Linked DNA regions of Cricetulus griseus. The protein of the gene in region 1 interacts with the protein of each later gene in a pairwise test. Links are inferred from orthologs where the notes say so. Each region holds a gene or a part of one and is shown in the gene's direction. Other genes may lie near its edges. The genes, in order: Kpna2, Necab2, Sertad3, Nmnat1 and Maged1.

Evidence for each region.
Region 2: the proteins of Kpna2 (region 1) and Necab2 interact in binary tests that used the Homo sapiens proteins (3 or more experiments, as listed by UniProt). The two-hybrid records come from large-scale screens. The link is inferred for Cricetulus griseus from reciprocal best matches to the Homo sapiens genes KPNA2 and NECAB2.
Region 3: the proteins of Kpna2 (region 1) and Sertad3 interact in binary tests that used the Homo sapiens proteins (3 or more experiments, as listed by UniProt). The two-hybrid records come from large-scale screens. The link is inferred for Cricetulus griseus from reciprocal best matches to the Homo sapiens genes KPNA2 and SERTAD3.
Region 4: the proteins of Kpna2 (region 1) and Nmnat1 interact in a two-hybrid assay, tested with the Homo sapiens proteins (3 studies listed by BioGRID and IntAct). The two-hybrid records come from large-scale screens. The link is inferred for Cricetulus griseus from reciprocal best matches to the Homo sapiens genes KPNA2 and NMNAT1.
Region 5: the proteins of Kpna2 (region 1) and Maged1 interact in binary tests that used the Homo sapiens proteins (3 or more experiments, as listed by UniProt). The two-hybrid records come from large-scale screens. The link is inferred for Cricetulus griseus from reciprocal best matches to the Homo sapiens genes KPNA2 and MAGED1.

Annotation. Positions count from the first base shown.
Region 1 is NC_048600.1:119,941,123-119,944,635, reverse strand, and holds part of Kpna2 (importin subunit alpha-1), read left to right. Parts: intron 1-64; coding exon 65-333; intron 334-671; coding exon 672-766; intron 767-855; coding exon 856-1,119; intron 1,120-1,415; coding exon 1,416-1,649; intron 1,650-1,919; coding exon 1,920-2,102; intron 2,103-3,513.
Region 2 is NC_048596.1:196,098,526-196,102,038, forward strand, and holds part of Necab2 (N-terminal EF-hand calcium-binding protein 2), read left to right. Parts: intron 1-1,551; coding exon 1,552-1,673; intron 1,674-1,802; coding exon 1,803-1,882; intron 1,883-3,513. UniProt on the Homo sapiens protein: May act as a signaling scaffold protein that senses intracellular calcium.
Region 3 is NC_048602.1:8,447,591-8,451,605, reverse strand, and holds the start of Sertad3 (SERTA domain-containing protein 3), read left to right. Parts: upstream 1-1,208; 5' UTR 1,209-1,350; intron 1,351-1,472; exon of another isoform or gene 1,473-1,591; intron 1,592-4,015.
Region 4 is NC_048595.1:6,903,376-6,907,468, forward strand, and holds the start of Nmnat1 (nicotinamide/nicotinic acid mononucleotide adenylyltransferase 1), read left to right. Parts: upstream 1-1,284; 5' UTR 1,285-1,978; coding exon 1,979-2,003; intron 2,004-3,026; coding exon 3,027-3,092; intron 3,093-4,093.
Region 5 is NC_048604.1:75,451,560-75,455,774, forward strand, and holds the start of Maged1 (melanoma-associated antigen D1), read left to right. Parts: upstream 1-1,409; 5' UTR 1,410-1,575; intron 1,576-2,120; 5' UTR 2,121-2,149; coding exon 2,150-2,194; intron 2,195-2,889; coding exon 2,890-3,591; intron 3,592-4,151; coding exon 4,152-4,215. UniProt on the Homo sapiens protein: Involved in the apoptotic response after nerve growth factor (NGF) binding in neuronal cells. Inhibits cell cycle progression, and facilitates NGFR-mediated apoptosis. May act as a regulator of the function of DLX family members.

The DNA of each region.
Region 1 (3,513 bases):
TTATTTTCAAGGTACCTTGGAAATAAACTTCAACTTTTGATTTTCTTTTTTTGTTTCCCCTTAGGAAACTGCTTTCTAGGGAGAAACAACCTCCTATAGACAACATCATTCGGGCTGGTTTGATCCCAAAATTTGTGTCCTTCTTGGGCAAAACGGATTGTAGTCCCATTCAGTTTGAATCTGCTTGGGCACTTACTAACATTGCTTCTGGAACGTCGGAACAGACCAAGGCTGTGGTAGATGGAGGTGCTATCCCAGCATTCATTTCTCTCTTGGCATCTCCCCATGCTCACATCAGCGAGCAAGCTGTTTGGGCTCTTGGAAACATTGCAGGTACTTGTACTTAAAATTCTTTGGACTGAATGTAGCCAGTGTGATTAAAGGACACTGTTAAAGGTCCTGGTGACTTCTGGGTGGGGCCTTGAGCTTGCTCTAGGCCCTCCCATATTAGGAGGGGAAGAGGCATCTCACCATGCTGCTGGAGAAGCGATTGAGTATGTGACAGTCATTCAGTAGCAGATTCACTCATTCATCGTGTTTTTTTTTTTTTTTTTTTTCTGAAACTGGGTCTCACTGCTTACCACTGACTGTAGACCAGGTTAGCTTGGAACTCACAAAAATAGATCCTAGAATTAAAGGTGTTCACCAGCTAATCTTGCTTTCTGTTTCAGGTGATGGTTCAGTTTTCCGAGATTTAGTTATCAAATATGGTGCAGTTGACCCACTGTTGGCACTTCTTGCAATTCCTGACCTGTCTTCCTTGGCAGTAAGTTAATACCATAAATAAAGTATTTGGTTCTTATTTTCCCCATCTACTCAGAAATGAGCCTTATAATTAACTTTTCTTCCCCACAGTGTGGTTATTTACGCAACCTTACCTGGACACTTTCAAACCTTTGTCGCAACAAGAATCCTGCACCCCCCCTAGATGCTGTTGAGCAGATTCTTCCTACTTTAGTTCGTCTTCTGCATCACAATGACCCAGAAGTATTAGCAGATTCCTGCTGGGCTATTTCCTACTTGACTGATGGTCCAAATGAGCGGATTGAAATGGTTGTAAAGACAGGAGTTGTGCCCCAACTTGTGAAGCTTCTAGGAGCCACTGAGTTGCCAATTGTGGTAAGTACTGACCTTTTATTTACGAGCTTTAATAGTACAAGAGCATAATCAGTTGGTAGTATTGATACTGCCTGTGACTTTTGTAGAAGTTTTTGAATAGAGAATTTTTAGGGTGATGGTGGCACACACCTTTAATTCCAGCACCGAGAGGCAGAGGCAGGCGGATCTCTGAGTTAGAGGCAGACAGACTCCAAAGCCACAGAGAAACCCTGTCTGGGGGGGGGGGAACGAATTTTTAGAAGCCTGGAAGAATAATACCATGTAACTAATCTGCAGCAACATTTTTTCTATTTCAGACTCCTGCACTCAGAGCCATAGGGAATATTGTCACTGGAACAGATGAACAGACTCAGATTGTGATAGATGCAGGAGCACTTGCAGTTTTTCCCAACCTGCTAACAAACTCCAAAACTAATATTCAGAAGGAGGCCACGTGGACAATGTCAAACATCACAGCTGGACGCCAGGACCAGATACAGCAAGTTGTGAATCATGGCTTAGTCCCATATCTTGTTGGTGTCCTCTCTAAGGTAATGAAGTGAGTGTAGGATGTAGTCAGAAGATTGTTAATATTTATGACAGCCTATATGTCTTTAATCCCTGGGCTTGGGAGGTAGAGACAGGAGGAGGATCTCTGAGTTTGAGGACAGCGAGCTTCTGTTAGGTAACAGGCAGCAAGCACCTCCTAATGTTGGGTAGAACCAGCAGGTAGTTTAGTTCTGTCTGTGGAACAAACCCTACCTTTTGGAGTCTAACCTCTCGGGTTTCTGAACTAAAACCATTTTCTTCTTGCTTATCAGGCAGACTTTAAGACACAGAAGGAAGCTGTATGGGCTGTAACCAACTACACCAGTGGTGGGACTGTTGAACAGATTGTGTATCTTGTTCATTGTGGCATAATAGAACCTTTGATGAACCTCTTAAGTGCAAAAGATACCAAAATTATTTTGGTTATTCTTGATGCCATTTCAAATATCTTTCAGGTAAGTCCTAACAAGGCTGTGTGTTTGAATTGAGTTGATAGTTACTATTTAGGACTGGGGAGAGGACAGGTAAGTTTGATTACTAATAGTCTGCAGAATCAGAAGGGTGTTCATGTGCAGCCTTACTTTGTACATTTACTAATGAATTCTTAGTGGGGCAGTGGTGGCGCAGGAGGCAGAGGAAGCAGATCTCTGTAAGTTCAAGACCAGCCTAGTCTACAGGGCTCAACAGAGAAACCCTGTCTCAGAAAGAAGGAAAAATTCTATGTGGATCGTGGCTGGAGTTATACTGGTGTGCTGACCACATAGGTGCTGGGAATCAAACCCACATCCTCTGCAAGAAAAAAAGCTCTTAACCACTCACTGAGCCACTTCTCTAGCTCCTTTAAGGATGGGAAGGTGTCAAGTGGCCTAGGCTAGCTTGAACTCCCTATATAGCTGGAGATGTCCTTGAATTTCTTTCTGAGCCTATTGCCTCCACCTCTCATGGTTTTCACCACACTCCACACTCAGTTTTATATGGTGAACTACCTCACTAGTCCCATGGTTTGATTTTGTATTTTGGTGCTCCTGCCTGCCTGCCTTTGTAGCCGTTGCTGTTCTGGAACTTGCTCTGTACATCGAGCTGGCCTCAAACTCAGATCTGCCTGCCTCTGCCTTTAATCTTTCCCGAATGCTGGGATTAGAGGCCTGTGCCACTTCCACCTGGGGATTTAATTGAAATAAGTGTCGTTCCCCGCCCCCCAGCCCTATCCCTATTTGATTTCAAGTGTGCCAGCATCTGACATTTTGTGATAGTATTTCTACTAGTTCTGGAACTTTTCAAGTTGAGTGTAAGTTGGTATTGGTAGCTCACACTTAAAATCCTAGCACACAGGAGGACTGTGATGAGTTGAAGACCAGCCTGGACTACATAGTTCCAAGCCAGTCTAGATTATAGAGTAAACTAGAACTTTTTACAAAAGAAAGTTGAGTCTAGAGAAAGGAGTCACTGGTGTTTCATGCCTACATGTATGTAAATCTTTGTCATGTGGCCAGGTTTCCTGCTCACAGGAATCAGTTAAAAGTTGAAAATTTGGGGTCTGGTGTTGGTGGTGCACGCCTTTGATCCCAGCATTCATGAGGCAGAGGCAGGTGGATCTCTGAGTTCGAGACCAGCCTGGTCTACAAGAGCTAGTTCCAGGACAGGCTCCAAAACTACACAGAGAAACCCTGCCTCGAAAAAAAAAAAAACAACAAAAAAAAGTTGAAAATTTGGATGCCAGGTAGGGTGGGTGTTACTTGCCTTTAATCATACCACTCAGGAGGCAGGCAGATCTCTTGTTCTCTATAGAGCAAGTTCAGGGTAGCTCGGGCTTCATAGAAACCCTGTCTTGAAAACAACAAAAAAAGTTGTTTGGAAGGAATCTTA
Region 2 (3,513 bases), on another chromosome or scaffold:
ACTCCTATCTGTTCAGATCAGAAAAGGGGAAATGGGACCCACACACAGGCGGGCAGCTGCCAGGGAGCCCATATCCCTGGGCTATCCAGCCTTGGCTTTATCAGTGTACAACTTCAGGGTGCCTGGCAGAGGGGCATAGTGGGAGCAGGATGTTCTTTTGCTGTGGGGTGGGGTTTGAGTGGGAGTCACTTGGTCAGTGAGGACCTCAGATAGGGTTGTGAGGGGTTCTTAATGACATTGTTGCAAAAATGTGTTTGCTGTCAGCACTTGAAAAATGCAGTTCATGACTCTGTCCATGTGGGCAGCCTTGCAATACCAAGTCCCCAGTGTCATCGGCCACCATTCTGGGGACAGACAGCTTTCCCTTTATTGATTTATATTATTATCTTAATCAAACTTCCCCTTTTCCTCCTGCTGTGGACAGATAGCAGCCTTGGGCAATTTTCCTGGCTGCCTTCCTACGCTCTGTGGCTCTATCCATGGTTCCACCCGCCTGCCCCCACTAGGAGGGGATAACTCTGGGGTGTCAGTGGAAGGAGTGGGTGGTGTGTCTTGATGGGAAATCTGTTCCGTGCCCACAGACACCTCAAACTGCCCCACATCTAAACACTTTTGGCTACAAGCCCTGAGTTCTCTTGCACTACCCTCTGTCCCCACCATGGAGTAGCCCCCAAGGGTGCTGTGTTCCAAGAGAAGCTGCTTGAGGGGCCTCCCACTCAACTCTTCATGGTCTGAGGGACACACTGAATTTGTTACTGGCATGTAGAAATGTGTGTGTGATAGACAGCTCAAAGCCTCCGCTAGCCTTGTCTCTCTGGGGGAGCTGAGCCTGCTTCCTCAACACAGGAGAAAGTCTCGTTAAGCTTTCAGGAGTCACAGGAGACAAATTCAAAATGGGATAGGGGTATCAGCCACATACCCCATTAACTGCAATATCTGTAGTCAGTTTTGCAAGCCCATCTTTGTGCATAAGGAATTGGCTGTTCACCCCGAATTTTTGGAGACCCTGCTGGGTGCCTGTCACTGTGTTAGGGGTGAAGGGTGCCAGGTGAGTTATGTGCATGGGGGAAAGAGGACATGGGGACAAGAGATGGACTCTGGCTCTGGCTAGGTTCAGGGTATTTTCTTGCTGCCTTGTTGGGGGTGGGGTGTCTCACTGACCCAGGTCTTCCTCCCCAGAAGTCACTCCACAGTCTCTACTGAGACTAGGAAGGAGGAAGCTATGAGCTATGAGATCAGCCAGATAGGTTCCTGGCCCAGCCATGAAAATGAGCCTATGGGACACAGGGTCTGGCCTCAAGAGTCCTGGCTTAGAGCTATGCCCCAGCTGACCACATGGCCTTGGCCAAGTCACCTGCCTCATGGGTGGTTTCCTCCTGTGTGAAAATGAAGGTCACTCTGACCATCCTGCAGATGTGGTCCCACAGGGCAGGCCTGTGCACATTTCAGGGCATGGCCAGTGCTTCCAAAGTGCATGGTGAAGGTTGTAGAGGTGATCATGGTCCTACAGCTGCCCTCATCAACACCTTGTTTCTCCTGTGCACACTGCAGACAGGAGCACTGCAAACCCAGCCACGGCATCACCGAGAGCCACTATGGAGGCCCCAGTCCTCCCTACATCCCCAACCACAAACTTGTTCCCCCCGAGCCAGCCGGGAAGAGCCTGTCTGTGGGTAAGAAAGCATCAATGGGCACTACCCTCCAAGGGGACCCAAGGAATCTCCTCTAGGGCCTAGCCTGGGGTTGGGGCTCGGCCTCCTCAGGATGGCCCTGCCCACCACCAGGGTCTCTCTGTTTTTCAGCCACAGGGGAGCCAAAGGAGGAGGGGCTGGAGGGCCAGATAAGCCGGTTGGCAGAGCTGATTGGGAGACTGGAGAGCAAGGTAGGCCCACCCCAAGCCCCTTTCACCTTTCTCCTGTCCACTTTAGAACTTGTTTGCTGGGGAGGTTGAGGTCACCCTGGTGGGTGGGAGGTTGTACAGAGTTGGACTGAGGCCATGGTCCTGACTATGGGAGGGCAGGCAGCATTCCAGGTGCAGAGTAATCAGTAAGGTCCTATGCTGTTATCATTTCCAAGAAAGCTAGCTCCAAGACAGGAGGCAAAAAGCAGGTGTGAGTGGGACTCCGCAATGGTTGGAGGCAGGTTCCAGACAGGAGAGTGCTGACCACACAACACAGTCCAGAAGTGTGGAGCTAGGGACAGTGTGTAACTTGAAGGACTCCCACAGGGGCTTGCAGATGGGTGGGCTCAGGTGTTCCTCTGCTGGAGCTGGGTTTCTGCTCTTTGGCTCCATTTGAGTCAGTGGCTTGCTCTCTCTGAGCCTGACACGCCTGCTCTGATGACAGCGGAGACATCTAGGCGATCAGTGTTCCTCACCAAGGTGCAGGTGGCTCAGGTCAGAGTCTGATGTCCCTGTTAGCATCTAACCTTAGCCATGTTAGCACTGCTGTCATCCTTTACCAAATTACCTACACATGTGCCCAGGGCTCCCATGCACATGCTTACACCGAGTGAGTGACAGGTATCTCGGAGCCCTGGGATTGAGGTAACATTTCTTCTGTTTTTCTGTATTTCTTTTGCAAGGAGCTCTGGTACTTAGCTGGTTTGGGGCTTTGTTCTGAGGGACTCATGGGCGTGAAGCAAGGGCCTCCTCACTGGAAAGCAGTCTGATGGGAGGAAAGGCTGTTGGTGGCTCAGCTGCAGGGCTGTGACTGAAGCGGGGGTCCCCCTCCCACACCCCTTTTAAGCCTGCTGCCCTGCCCAGGGTGAGAGCAGCATGGTGGGGACCTTGTGCCCGGTTGTCATAACAACTCAGTGGGTGCCCCAGGAGGGAGGCTCTTTGAAGCTTATTTTTAGTACCCCGGTCGCCCTAACAACCAGGCTGCTGGTAACCAGGAGCACCTAGGCATCCTGGAGATGGGGCGGGGTCCTCCAAGGTCTCTGATTGGCCTAAGCCATTAGTATGGGCAGATTCAAGCCAGCTCCAGGCTTGGCCCCCCAGATAGCCAGGCAAGGCTTCTAACTGTGCCTGGAGAGCAGGGAGGATGGAGGTCCTTGGTAGCAGGTCTGGGTACTGCTGGGCTGGCCATCTCATTGTAGAGAGACCAAAGGGCCCCGGCCTTCCTGGAGCTGCCCATGTGCCTGTTAAGTGACAGAAACAAGCTTGAATCTTCGAAGACATCTTATCTACTTGGCCCTTTCTTGAGATGTACAGACAAGAGGTCAGTGGAGACTAGAGGTGTGATTCAGAGGCAGGCCCTTGTTCAAACTTGAGAACCAACCACCCACCACTGTTTTCTTTAACAGTGGATGCACCTCTTGCTTGTTACATGTAGCTGTCTTCGGGCAGGGCAGACAGGCACAGAGGCTGTGATTGTGAGGTACCCACATTGTAGGAAGAATAGAGGAGACATAGGTTTAAACTCAGGCCCTAATAATCCTTAACTCATCTGAGCCTGGGGTTCTGTGCTGTGACATAGCAATGACTGGACATCAGTGTGGCCCTGTCTTGGG
Region 3 (4,015 bases), on another chromosome or scaffold:
AATCCTAGCGCTTGAAGACTAAAACAGGAGGGTAGAGAATGCCAGGGTAGCTTAGGCTAAATACATAGCAAGAGCCTGTTTCAGGAAACAACCAAAAAAATGTCTGGAGACGTAGCTCAGAAGTAGAGTGAGTGCTTTGGCACTAGGTCGGCGCTGTGTTCCCTCCCCAACACCAAAAAAAAAAAAAAAAAAAAAAAAAGAAAAGAAAGAAACAAAGGGGGGAATTTTCTGGGGCTGGAGGGGCACACCTGTAACCCCAGCCAGAACTGAGGCGATGGGAGCAAGGGAATTAGAATTTCAAGGCCAGCACTGTCTACAACACGAGCCGGGAGCTTGCACACGACTGTCTCAAAACAAAACGAAACCTGAAAATGAGTCCTGGGGAACAGGAAGGAAGGCACCCCAGGCCAGATCGTGATAGGGCAAGCTCACCCGTCACTCTGAGACCATGTCACAAAATAAGTACAAACTGAAAAATCTTAGGGGCTATGTAGCTCAGTCCTACTACAGCGCTCAAGTCCAGTGCCCAAACCCAAAAGATAAATTTGAGTTTGTCCCGAGAGTTGCGCGGAGCGATGAAGAGTGAGCAGCAAGAGGCGGGCAACATGATTTCGAAACCATGGGGCAGCCTGGGATCCAGGAGCTCCCACCAAACGGGCAGCGGACCCCTCAAGATTAAGCACCGACTGCGCCTACAAAACGGCTGGGGAGCTGGGGGAGGCAGAGCGAAGCCTGCCAAGGGGCGGGGCTGCGGTCGTCCAGGTAACGCAAGCCGCAATACGCGATTGGCTGATATTTAGTGCGTCACTCCCTCCCCCCCTCCGCTTAGCCGGGGCGGGGGCGTGGCCTCCGCGGGTTTGCCCAGCCTGCAAAACCGCAAGGGAGGGAGGGAGGGGAGTGTGGTGTCACCCGGTGTGGCCCCGCACTGGGGTCTGGCCCGGGTGTGTAAGCGACCTGCGGAGAGACAGAGGAGCAAGAAACACAGCGGGGTGCAAAGAAGCCGTGCGCACGGCCGGCGCCACCCTCCGCCACCGTGCTGGCCCGCCCCGCCCCCTGTTAGTCGCCAGCTTAAACGGGACCCGGCCCTGGAGGGGGGCGGAGCCTAGCGCCCGTGGCTCCTCCTAGCCAATGGCGCCCCACGGCGGGCAGGGTTCCAACCAATCGTGGCTCGCTATGGCCTGCGGGGCGGAGCCGAGCGTCTCCCCGCCCCCGGCCCCCCGGCCCCCCTCCCACGGCCAGACCCGGAGGCCCCGGGGAAAGTGAGCCTGACTCCTGGCCAGCTCTGGTGGGACGCGGCGCCCAGCGCGGGGTTGCCGGAGGTTTGCAGTCGAGGCGACCGTGGCGACCGAGGTGATTGATCAGTGGCCGCCTGGGTGGGGTTTGCTGAAGTTGCAGGAGGGGGAGGAGGGGGAGGAGGAGGGGGCGCGCCCCGGGGTGGGGTGGGCGGAAGCGGGGTAGGGACCCGGGCGGATTGGTGTGGCTGAAGCCGGATCCCAGCATCAGCACCGGAGGGGAGGCAGGATGGAGCTGGAGGACCGAGGGGAACCGGAGGAGGAACTTTGGAGCGGGGCGACGGCTTGGGTGTCCCCGGGTGGGCAGAGTGCGGAGTGGCTCGGCGTTCTGGGGAGCGAGTGAGAGTTCCAGGGCTGCCGCCGCAACCCCTTAGATAGAGGAGCCCGGGAAGAACGCGGGGCACCCGGGGCTGGGCTTCCGAGACGCCCGTCTGAGAAGGGGATGATGCCTGGGGAGGAGTTCCGGCTCGGGGTCCTCCGACCTTGCAAAGTAAAGCCGGGGGGAAGTCATTTCAAAGTCGAGCCACGAACGGGGGGACGCTGGGGACGAGGTCTCAGAATCGAGGTCCCCGCTCTCCCCCGGCCGGACTACCGTAGTCAGTCGTTCACCTGCTCTGAACGATGCGATGCGGGACTCCGCACCCCGAGGACGCTCGAAGGAAGAATCCAGAAACTTCCTGGGGTGATAGGAACCCGGAGAAAGCCCTTTTCGGGTGGAAGGCGGGTGGGGGAGGGGCGTGGAGCTCAGATTCGCCGCCCCGAAGGCAGCAGAGGGCGGGGTTCGGCCGGTGCCCGGCGGCTGGGCGTCCGGGTCCCTTCCCCCCGCCACCAACCAGAGCTCCAATGAGCATGCTCTCGGGCAGGGCGGGTGTGTCCAGGCCCCCCCAGCGCGCAGCGCCTTCTGGGGATTGTAGTTCGAGAGTGACAGCAGCGGCTCTGCCTGTGGTCTCTGGGTCCACAGCTCCCAGAAGGCCCTGAGGACATATTGGGGTGTTCTTGGATCTGATCTAGAGATCCAGGGAAGGGCGGTGCCTATGAGAAAGGACTGTATGGAGGGCACAGCTTGGTGTTGGTTCAGTTCTATCCGGTTGAGGAATGCAAGTTTGGTAAATGCTCCCTCTCTTGTGAAAGCTCCTGGTCTTGGTGTCGGAAACGTATATGGACAGAAATATCCTTGTAAAAAGAAGAAAATCACACACACACACACACACACACACACACACACACACACACACACACACACACACACACACACACCCTCAGTTGGGCATGGGGTTGCACGTCCCAGCATTTGGAAAAGAAAGGCGGTAGGATATGAGTTCTAGGCCAACCTGACCTACAGGGGAGGTTCCAGGGCTACACAGAGAAACCTTGTCTGAAAAGAAACAAAAACAAAACAACAAATCTAAGGTCCAGAGATATGGCCATGCCTCTTGCCAAGATCACAGTTCAAACGCAGAGCTCAAATGTGCTTTCGGTCTGTGGCTCTGTACTCCATACTTGGCTGTCCTGTGACTTGTTAGGGAAAAAAAAAAAAAGATAATAAAAGTATTGCTGGAGAACAGTGCAAGATCCATTGAGATCAGAGTTAAGATCCTCACTTTGCAAATGCTGAAATTGCTCGTCAGAGTGTAATTTTAACATCGTGACTGCCGCAGGCTAATAAGTGATATTCAAGCCAAGTGATATTCAAGTGTTTGGTGATTTGTTTGGGGGCTTTTTGTTTTTCTGAGAGAGGGCCATCTGACCATGAGACTCTGCTTACCCTAAGATTGGATACGTGGACTAGGGTGGTCTTTATTTTTATTTATTTATTTTTTGACTAGGGTGGTCTTGAACTCACAAAACTCTACCTGCCTCTGCCTCCTGGTGATGAAATTAATGGCATGGGACAGCATTGGCAATTTTTTTTCTGTTTATTTTTATGTTTTTAATTTTAGGTGTATGAGTATTTTACTTGCATGTATGTATAGACACCACTTGTGGCAGATCCCCTAAAGTGGAGGCATAGGTCCTCTAAAACTGGAGTTTTAGACAGCTCAGAACCATCACGTTGGTGCTAGAAATCAAACTCAGGTCCTCCGGAAGAGCAGCTGGTGTTCTTAACCACTCAGCCATACCTTTTATATTTGAGATGCTATCTAGCCAAGGATGACCTTGAACTCCTGAACTTTTCTGCCTCCTAAATGCTCTTACACACACACACACACACACACTCACGCACGCACGCACGCACGCACGCACGCACACACACACACACACACATTCTCTTTCTCACTGATCACTCTGTGCTACCCTACTTGCATCTTGTTTTAATATACATTGTTGTTTTGCCTGCATGTATGTCTGTGTCTGAAGGTGTCAGATAGATCTTGGAGTTACAGAGAGTTGTGAGCTGCCCTGTGGGTGCTGGGAATTGAACCCGAGTGCTCTGGAAGGGCAGTCGGTGCTCTTAACCACTGAGCCGTCTCTCCAGCCCTGAATCTTGTTCTTTTAATCAAATAGCATACATTTATTCACCATTCTTAGCCTTGTAGGAGTCTGACTATATGCACTTTTAAGTAGAGGTTCTGATCAAAGGAACCAACCAACCCTCCCGTAACTATACAGTCTTGCTTGAAAAAGTGGGATCCAAAGGTATCCAAAGGCATGGCTGTCTCATGCCTTTAATTCCAGTACTGTGAGGGCTGGGTGGATCTCTGAATTCGAGGCCAGCCTGGTCT
Region 4 (4,093 bases), on another chromosome or scaffold:
ATCTGGAATAGAACTCCAGTTGCCAGGCCTGCCCAGCAAGCACCTTTACCTGCTGAGCCAGCTTGCTGGCCCAACACTACTTACTGAATGAATAACTAAATCCAGAACTTTAGTATAACTATATAAACTGTTACAGGTCAGGCATGGTGGCCCATGTCTGTAATCCCAGCACTGAAGGCTGAGGGGCAGGAAGATTACCATGACTTTGAGGCTAGCTGGAATACACAGTGAATTCAAGACCATCCATCGCAAGAAACGGCCCACCCCACCCACTCCAGAAGAAAGAATGAGGAGGGGAAGAAAGGAGAAAAATGTGATTTATTTTACTAGATTTGGCCTTAGTTTCACATTCTGATTGTAGGATAACTATAAGGGTTGCTACCTAAGAAATTTAAAAGATTCTCTTCATTTAACATTTGGTTTTATTTTTAAAGATGGTGGCAAACCCAGGGCATCACACGTGCTAGGTGAACATTCTACCATTAATCTGCAACCCAGCCAACCATCAGGAGTTTTCAATGTGGTTTTTCTTGTGCGCCAGTCTGTGAACATCTGTAGAGCAGAAACCTCTTAGCCGCTTTTGTGCCCACAACCTGTATCTATCAGATAATAGACACCTGCTGGGTACTTACGGACAGCTCCACACCTACCGAGGGTGAAGAAGGTGAGGACGATATTGCTAGTCAAGTTGGCCAGGAGAGGCTGACTGCAGTGCCTCGAGGATCTGGGCCTGGAAAGCAATTCACAGGCTGGTGCCCTTCATCCACCACCCACTACACAGTCCTGTGTCTGAGGTACATCAGCCCCCTTCATGCCCCAGCTCTAACAATGGCTTCAAAACTAGGAAATGATGCTAGTTATAAGGTCCTAATCCTTATTTGATGGTTTGGTAAAAATACTTTGTAGAAATTCTGACCTTTGGGAGTAAAGAACTGTGCTGTGTGGGTACAAGCCTCCTGTGGTGGACTTGCATTGTGGAATTATCACCAGCTCACACCTTCTCTTTGTATCCTCATCAAGTCAGTTTTCTGATTTTTGTAGAACTTCCACATCTTTAAGATTGTAATTCTTTGATGACTGTTCCTCCTATTGCCTCTAGGCATGGCACTAGGATTTTAGGTCATCATAAATTAAAATTGGTTTTTTTCACTCAGAGAATATCAAGGTAATGGGATTATCTGTATATTCTCTGAAATTTGTGGGATCAAACAATTACAAAAAACAAAACACACACACACACAAATATTGTGACTCTTTATATTAAGTAAGTGGATTGTGCTTGCTTTGCTTCTCCAGTGAGGGTTATTAGTGAATGGTCTCTAGCCTCCACCATTGTTAGAGGACGGTCTCTAGCCTCAACCGTTGTTAGAGGACGGTCTCTAGCCTCCACTGTTGTTAGTGGATGGTCTCTAGCCTCCACTGTTGTTAGCGGATAGTCTCTAGCCTTCACCGTTGTTAGTGGGCAGTCTCTAGCCTCCCCTGTTGTTAGAGACGGTCTCTAGTTTCCATGACTAAGCACTAGCACTGAATCTGAATTGAACATCAGTTCAGAATCCAGTTGGTTGACTACTCAATTCTGCCCTCAGCTCTGCAGACATTAGCTGACGCTTAGGCCCTTGGGACTGTCCTCCCATGATGGAGACATTGGTGTCTTCACTGTCTCCCATTTAATGGCCTCTTACACTGGAAGTAAATATTGGTTAAAAGTTAATCCTAATCTGTCCAAATCTCTGCAACCTTCTCTTTACTGAGATTTTCAAGAATGCAAAGAGGTGGACTGGATGGCCACCAATAATAGGAGCAGAAACAATGGGGCAGGCAGCAGTTAATTGAGTAACAGGAATCTCAGGGAGCCCCCGCCCCAAACCCACAGGTAAGGCCTGTGAGACTCACCGCAGCAGCACATAGAACTGGAGCGTCAGGGTGCCGATCCCAAACAGGAACACCATCACCTGGCTGCACGGCACAGGGATACCTTATGACTTCACGGAACCACACTCAAGGTGTGTTTCACACTGATTAAATCACAGAGAGTTTTTTCACCCAGGCAGAAGAGAATTGCCATGCACTCCCCTGGCACTGCACCCTCCAATGAAACGTACCTGTTAACACCTAAGTGAAAAGCTACCAGCTGCCAGTATTCAGCTCTCTGGGAAATCTGTAGGATTGGATTCCTTTACCGTAATTAAGTTAATGTTAGGAAACAACACACAAGTAGTAGGAAGTATTAATTCAAAGTAAGCATAAATAGAAAAAAACTATAAAATGATTATTTGAATTGGATAAATATATTGAATATCTTATATGCATTATCTTATTTGATATTCACAAAGTTCGCCGGGCGTTGTGGAGCATGCCTTTAATCCCAGCACTCGGGAGGCAGAGGCAGGCGGATGTGAGTTCCAGGCCAGCCTGGTGTCCAGAGTGCCAGGATAGGCTCCAAAGCTACACAGAGAAACCCTGTCTCGAAAAACCAAATATCTATATATTTATTTACAAAGTTCTATAAAATAAGGACTATGTGTGCGCGCGCATGCGCCACACACACACACACACACACACACACACACACACACACACACACACACACACACACACACACACACACGCCCTGCCCTTTTCTTTTTTTATAGTAGGGTCTCACTAATTATTCATGGCTGGCCAGAAACTCCCAGTATAGACCAGGCTGGCCTTGAACTCACAGAAATCTGCCTGCTTCTGCCTTCTGTGTGCTGGGATTAAAGACAAGCACCATGGGGCTGGAGAGATGGCTCAGCGGTTAAGAGCACTGGCTGCTCTTTCAGAGGACACAGGTTCAATTCCCAGCACCCACATGGCAGCTCACAGCTGTCTGTTACTTCAGTTTCAGGGGATCTAACACCTTCACACCAATACACATAAAATAAAGTTAAATAAACTATTTTTTAAAAAAAGAAAGACAAGCACCATCACCCACCACAAGAGCCAGTGCACACACACACTTTTATTATTATTTTTTTAAGACTAAATCTTACTATGTTTCCCAGGTTCTGCTTGGACTCCTGGGCTAAAGCAATCCTCCTGCTTCAGCTTGCCTAGCCCTGGGACTAGAGGTACATGTCACTAAGACTTGGGTCCCATTTTAAAAATGCAGAAACCAGGGTTCAAGGACAAACAGCAGCAGTAAGTGAAACAGCTAGGATTCTCGCCCACACCCCTGGCAGCCTTGCCTGCTGTCAGGAGCCATACCAGAATCACTGTTGACTGCTGCAAATGTTAATCATTAAATAATAGTCCGCCTCCTCCCGCATTAGCTGTTTTTTTATTAATAGGGGTGAGGCCCAAAGGACTTCAGGGTGTTCATAGAAAATGGTTGTTGATACCTTCCAAATCTACACTATGTATAACAGCTGCAGCAGCTTCAGAACAAGGTGAGGGGTCAGGCTGAAAGTTACAACAGCGCGTCCTTTCAGAGGGTGGTGGTGAGAGGCGGTCTGGCCAGGCAGGTCGTTTAACTGTGGGCCAGCATGGCTTTAGACTGAGCATCCGGAAATGGGACAAGGAGAGCCAGCAGAGTCACAGTGGTCTTTGAAACAGTGGTAGCTGTGAGTTAATGCTTCCATCATGATATCTTTAAAACTCAAAAGATGGGTGATTTAGAAGTAAATTTTAGTTGGATCTGAAGACTGCCCCAGGAAGCAATGAACCTTTGACACAGTGTGCTGGGGAGGAACACTTACAGCCTGAGCCGATGGGACCTCGGCAGCCAGCAGTGCAGGTGATAGGCTGTGTGGACCAAACAAAAGTGAATCATGGCGACACTGGTCCGGCAGCATTCAGAACAGTTCTGTCTGAGACTCCACACCCAATGTTACCGCCATGTTGGACAGGTCACGATGTAGGAGCTCACTGTAACTTAACCCTCTGTGGCTTGGAGAGTCTAGCTAAGGTGGCTGAGTTGGTAAAGCCGGGATGGATATATGAGACAGGTCACCAATGTGATAAAGGACAAAGACTGCCTCCTGTACTCTGAGGGATCAGCTTCCACCAGCCTCCTCATTCCCCAGGGGAAGGAAACCTGAGGTCCTCCTAGAGCACTGGGGCTGGGAGCATT
Region 5 (4,215 bases), on another chromosome or scaffold:
CCCCTTTCTGTGATTCTTATTTTGGGTAGTCAGTAAACCAGGCTTACCAAAGTTGACTAAAGTGACTATATTCTCAGGGGCTCACATAACCAGGGACAGATAGTCCCGACACTAATCACGCAATTCTAAAGCCCAGCCGAGGTTCATTCTGCAAGAACAGAACAGACACACCTGACTGCTCCGGCCTCAAGCAAGCATCATCAAGTCCTGGGGTCTCACTCTGGGCAAGTGCCTGCCAACGGGAGTACAGAGTGAACCTGAAGGGTTCCCACATATACTAGGCCTCTTAGAACACAGGCTTTGTCCACTTGGAACAAATATTGGGGAGAGGAAAGATTGTCATTTCAATGAAAAATTAAGGGGTGTCTTGATTCTCAGACCAGCACTAATAGCTATATAGATTTTGCAGTCAGGAAAATCCGCACCCCACCCCCCCGCCCCGCCCCATGTTTGGTTTTTGGATAAAGTCTCAGCGTTGTGCACCTGGCCTGGAACTCGTGGCTTTCCTCACTCAGTCTCCAGAGTGCTGGGATTACCAGTGTGCACCACTGTGCTGTGCCAAATTTTGCCCTCTCTGTTTGTTACTTGCTCAGTGCCCTGGTTCATACAGTGGGTTTATGATTTAGCTACCTGGTATGCAAAATGAAGATGTTGCCCTCCATCAATCTTCTAGGGCTGATGTTCGAGAAAAACCAGCTCCAGGACAGATCCCACTGCCCTTATGCCTTTCCCTCCCCTCTCTGGCCCACACCTCATGAAATGTTTCCATGGCAAAACTGCAAATAAATAAATAAATAAATAAATAAATAAATAAATAAATAAATAAAAAGAAAACGGGGTGGGGAGGGCGGCAAGAGAAAAGCTCATTTTCTGAGTCTGGTCAGAGGAAATCTACCCCCTGGCTGGCACTTGCTTTGCTACCTCCTGGAATGTATCCCCCCCAAGGCCGACCTTTAAGGTTCCTGCGTTGCAAAGTGGGTGAACTCAGCAGAGGCCTAGCTTGCAGCGAACTAAGAGACCCCCCGCAGAGGCCTACCTAAGAGGCCCTAAGCAAGGGGTGGGAGGTACTTGCAGGCCTGGCTAGAGAGTCCTGGGTGGGGGGGGAAGGGAGGGACTGAGGAGAGACGCATTGCGGATAAAGGTAGGGGGCTGGTGTGTTGGGCAAGGGGGTGGGACCAAAAGGCGCTGCGCATCTGTTGGAGGAGTGGGTGCGTAAGAAGAAGGGGAGGAACCTTCGTACACTGTCAACCTGGTTGGCGGTGGGATAGTGTGTTGGCAAAGAGGCGGGATCTCCTCCAAGTGCACATGCGCGACAAGGTCTCTAGGATGAAGCTTTTGTTGGGAAAGCAAGCGGGACTCTTATTTGGACAGTTAGCTATTGCGCATGCGCGAGGCTTCCTGAGGCGGTGGGTGGTATATTAGGCGAAGAGGCGGGGTCGCCCGAGCTGCCGCGCTGGCATTTTCTCCTGGACAAGGAGAGAGTGCGGCTGCTGAGAGCCGAGCACAGCAATCCTGATCCTCTGAGTCGTGAAGAAGGGAGACAGCAAGGGGGTTGGGGTTGGGGCCTGAGGCAAGGTGAGATTAGCCCCCAGACTGGGCATCTGCCCCCTGGTGTGGCATCCTTCCCCCATTCTTTTATCCCAATCCCTTTACCCTGGATTCAGAAACCCCCTCCACTACCCGATCCCTGATTCTTACCCCCCCCCCCATCTAATTTAGAACCCCGTTCATTCTCTGAATCCTTATCCCATTCCTTCACAGAATCCTCAAATTTCTCGACCTTGATCCGTTATAGATTCCTTTTGATTGAGAACCTCAATCCAACTTTCCAGAAGCGAATTTTTCCCCCTCGCTCTCCCCCGCCCCCCGAAAACTGCCGCATTCAGAGCTCTTATCAGATTCCAGAACGCGGATTTGAAGCTTTTCCCTATCGGGTTCTGGAATTTTTAAATTGCCCATCAGGATGCTCATTTACTTTTCCCGCTCTGATTAGGCTTGTTTCTCCCCTTATCCAGCACCTCACCCGCCCCCAGCATCAAACCACACACGCACACACAATTCGGCCCTACGTATTTTCCTTCTGTAGTGTAATGCCTAGTTCCTCTCCCACACCCCCCTAGGCTCTGCTCTTGCCAGAGACACAAGAGCTATGGCTCAGAAACCGGACGGCGGTGCAGGCCTCCGCGGCTACCAGGTGAGATCCCCGCTCCCCATTCCTCCATTTTCCCTGCTGACAGATTACGCGCACCCCCCGGCCCCTTTGGTGGCACAAATGGCAGGCTCTGATTTTGCCCTTCTTCCGGCCTAGACTCCGCTGGCTCTCAAATGTCTAGCGTTTATCGAATGGGGGGAGGGGCGTCCCTTTTCAGCCATCGGTCCCTGCTTAGAGAAAGGGGAGACCCTGTTAGTCAGGGCATTCTGCCCAGAGAATGCGGGTTGGGTAAGGAACCATTTTTTTTTCCATAACCCTGACGCGTGTAGAGCAGTCTGTCGCCCCATCCCCCAACCTCTCGCCTCCACCCTCCCTTTCTCCACGCCGCGAGACTCCCCCTCCACCCTCCCTGCTTATCCTCCGCGATTCCTCCCTCCTCCTCCTCGGGTCTTGAGCTCCCCACCGCAAGCCTAACCAGTCCGGCTCTGAACCTGTTTGGGGTCAGTGGTTGCACCACGGTTCCTCACCAGTCCCTGCTGCCTCTGACTGCCCTCACCTTGTCCTGCCCCCTCTATTCTTAACCAAATTTTGTTCCCACCCCGCCTCCCTTTGACCCTTCTGTGCCCCCAGATCTGTGAACTGCGATGCGTGTCTACAGCTCCCCTGCTGCGTATGCCCCTCCTTCTGATCTGGCTTGTAAGGCCCAGAGGTTGAAATTCCCCCTCCTGTATTTGCAGGCTGAGGCCTCTGTAGAAGACAGCGCCTTGCTTGTGCAGACCTTGATGGAAGCCATCCAGATCTCCGAGGCTCCACCCACCAACCAGGCCACAGCAGCTGCCAGTGGGCAGAATGTTAGTCCCCAGAGTTCACAGCCCCCAACTGCCAATCAGGTGGCTGATACTGGGGTTTCAACAGCAGCTGCTAGGCCTAAGACAGGCTTTAGAGCCCAGAATACCTTCTCAAAGGGTCCAAATGATTTCTCTCACGCACGTAATGCCAAGGAGATGTCCAAGAACCAGTCTAAGGCGGCCTATAAGTCACATAATGGCACCTCTAAAGGGCCAAATGCTGCCTCTAATTTTTCCCACGGAGCAACCACAGGCAAATCAGCAGCTAAAAAGTCTGAAATAGCCTTTAAGGTCCAGAATACCACTACTAAGGCAGGCCCTGGTGCCACCTACAATTTCTCTCAGTCTCCCAGTGCCAATGAGATGATCAACAACCAGCCTAAGACAGCTACTAAGGCTTGGAATGATACCACTAAGGTCCCTGCAGCTGATGCCCAGATCCAGAATGTAAACCAGGCCAAAATGGCTAATGTAGGGACCAGCCCAGGTATCTCTGAAACTGGTGGTGCAGCTGCACAGACCTCAGCCGATGGCTCCCAGGCTCAGAATGTGGAGTCTCGGACTATAATTCGGGGCAAGAGGACCCGCAAGGTGAGATCCCTCCTAGCTTTACTTAGCTCCAAACAAAATAAAGGGCGCATATACCTGTATTGGGGCTAGGTTTTAGGGGGTGTTGAGGTAAATGTTTATTCCTGACCCCTGATTGTCCACAGGTTGATGGTGAGTTTATACAAGGACAGATAATCTGGATCACCGTACCACCTGTGTATAGGTCATTTTACATTTTGACAGTAAACACCATGGGTGAGGTCGTAAGCTAGGCTGGCTCACACCAAATTATCATTGAAGCTTCACCTCACTAGCTAGAGAAAACACAGGATGAAATGAGATGGCTTGAATTCAGGATGATAGCAGTAGTCACACAGGAAAAGGAGAAGCCCTAGTCCCCACTTTATGGTTGTTCTTGGTCTGGTTTGGACATGAATCTCCCACCTGAAAGACAATGAAAAATAAACATAAAGTGACCGATGACTAGTGAAGGGTCAGAATGTCCTTATAGGTGGAAAATTCATAGGAACTTCCTAGATTAGCTGCTGGGAGGACCAAGGATTAATAGTGACTCTGGAATTTTCTTTTCTCTTACGATGCAGATTAATAACTTGAATGTGGAAGAGAACAGCAGTGGGGATCAAAGGCGGGCCTCACTAGCTTCAG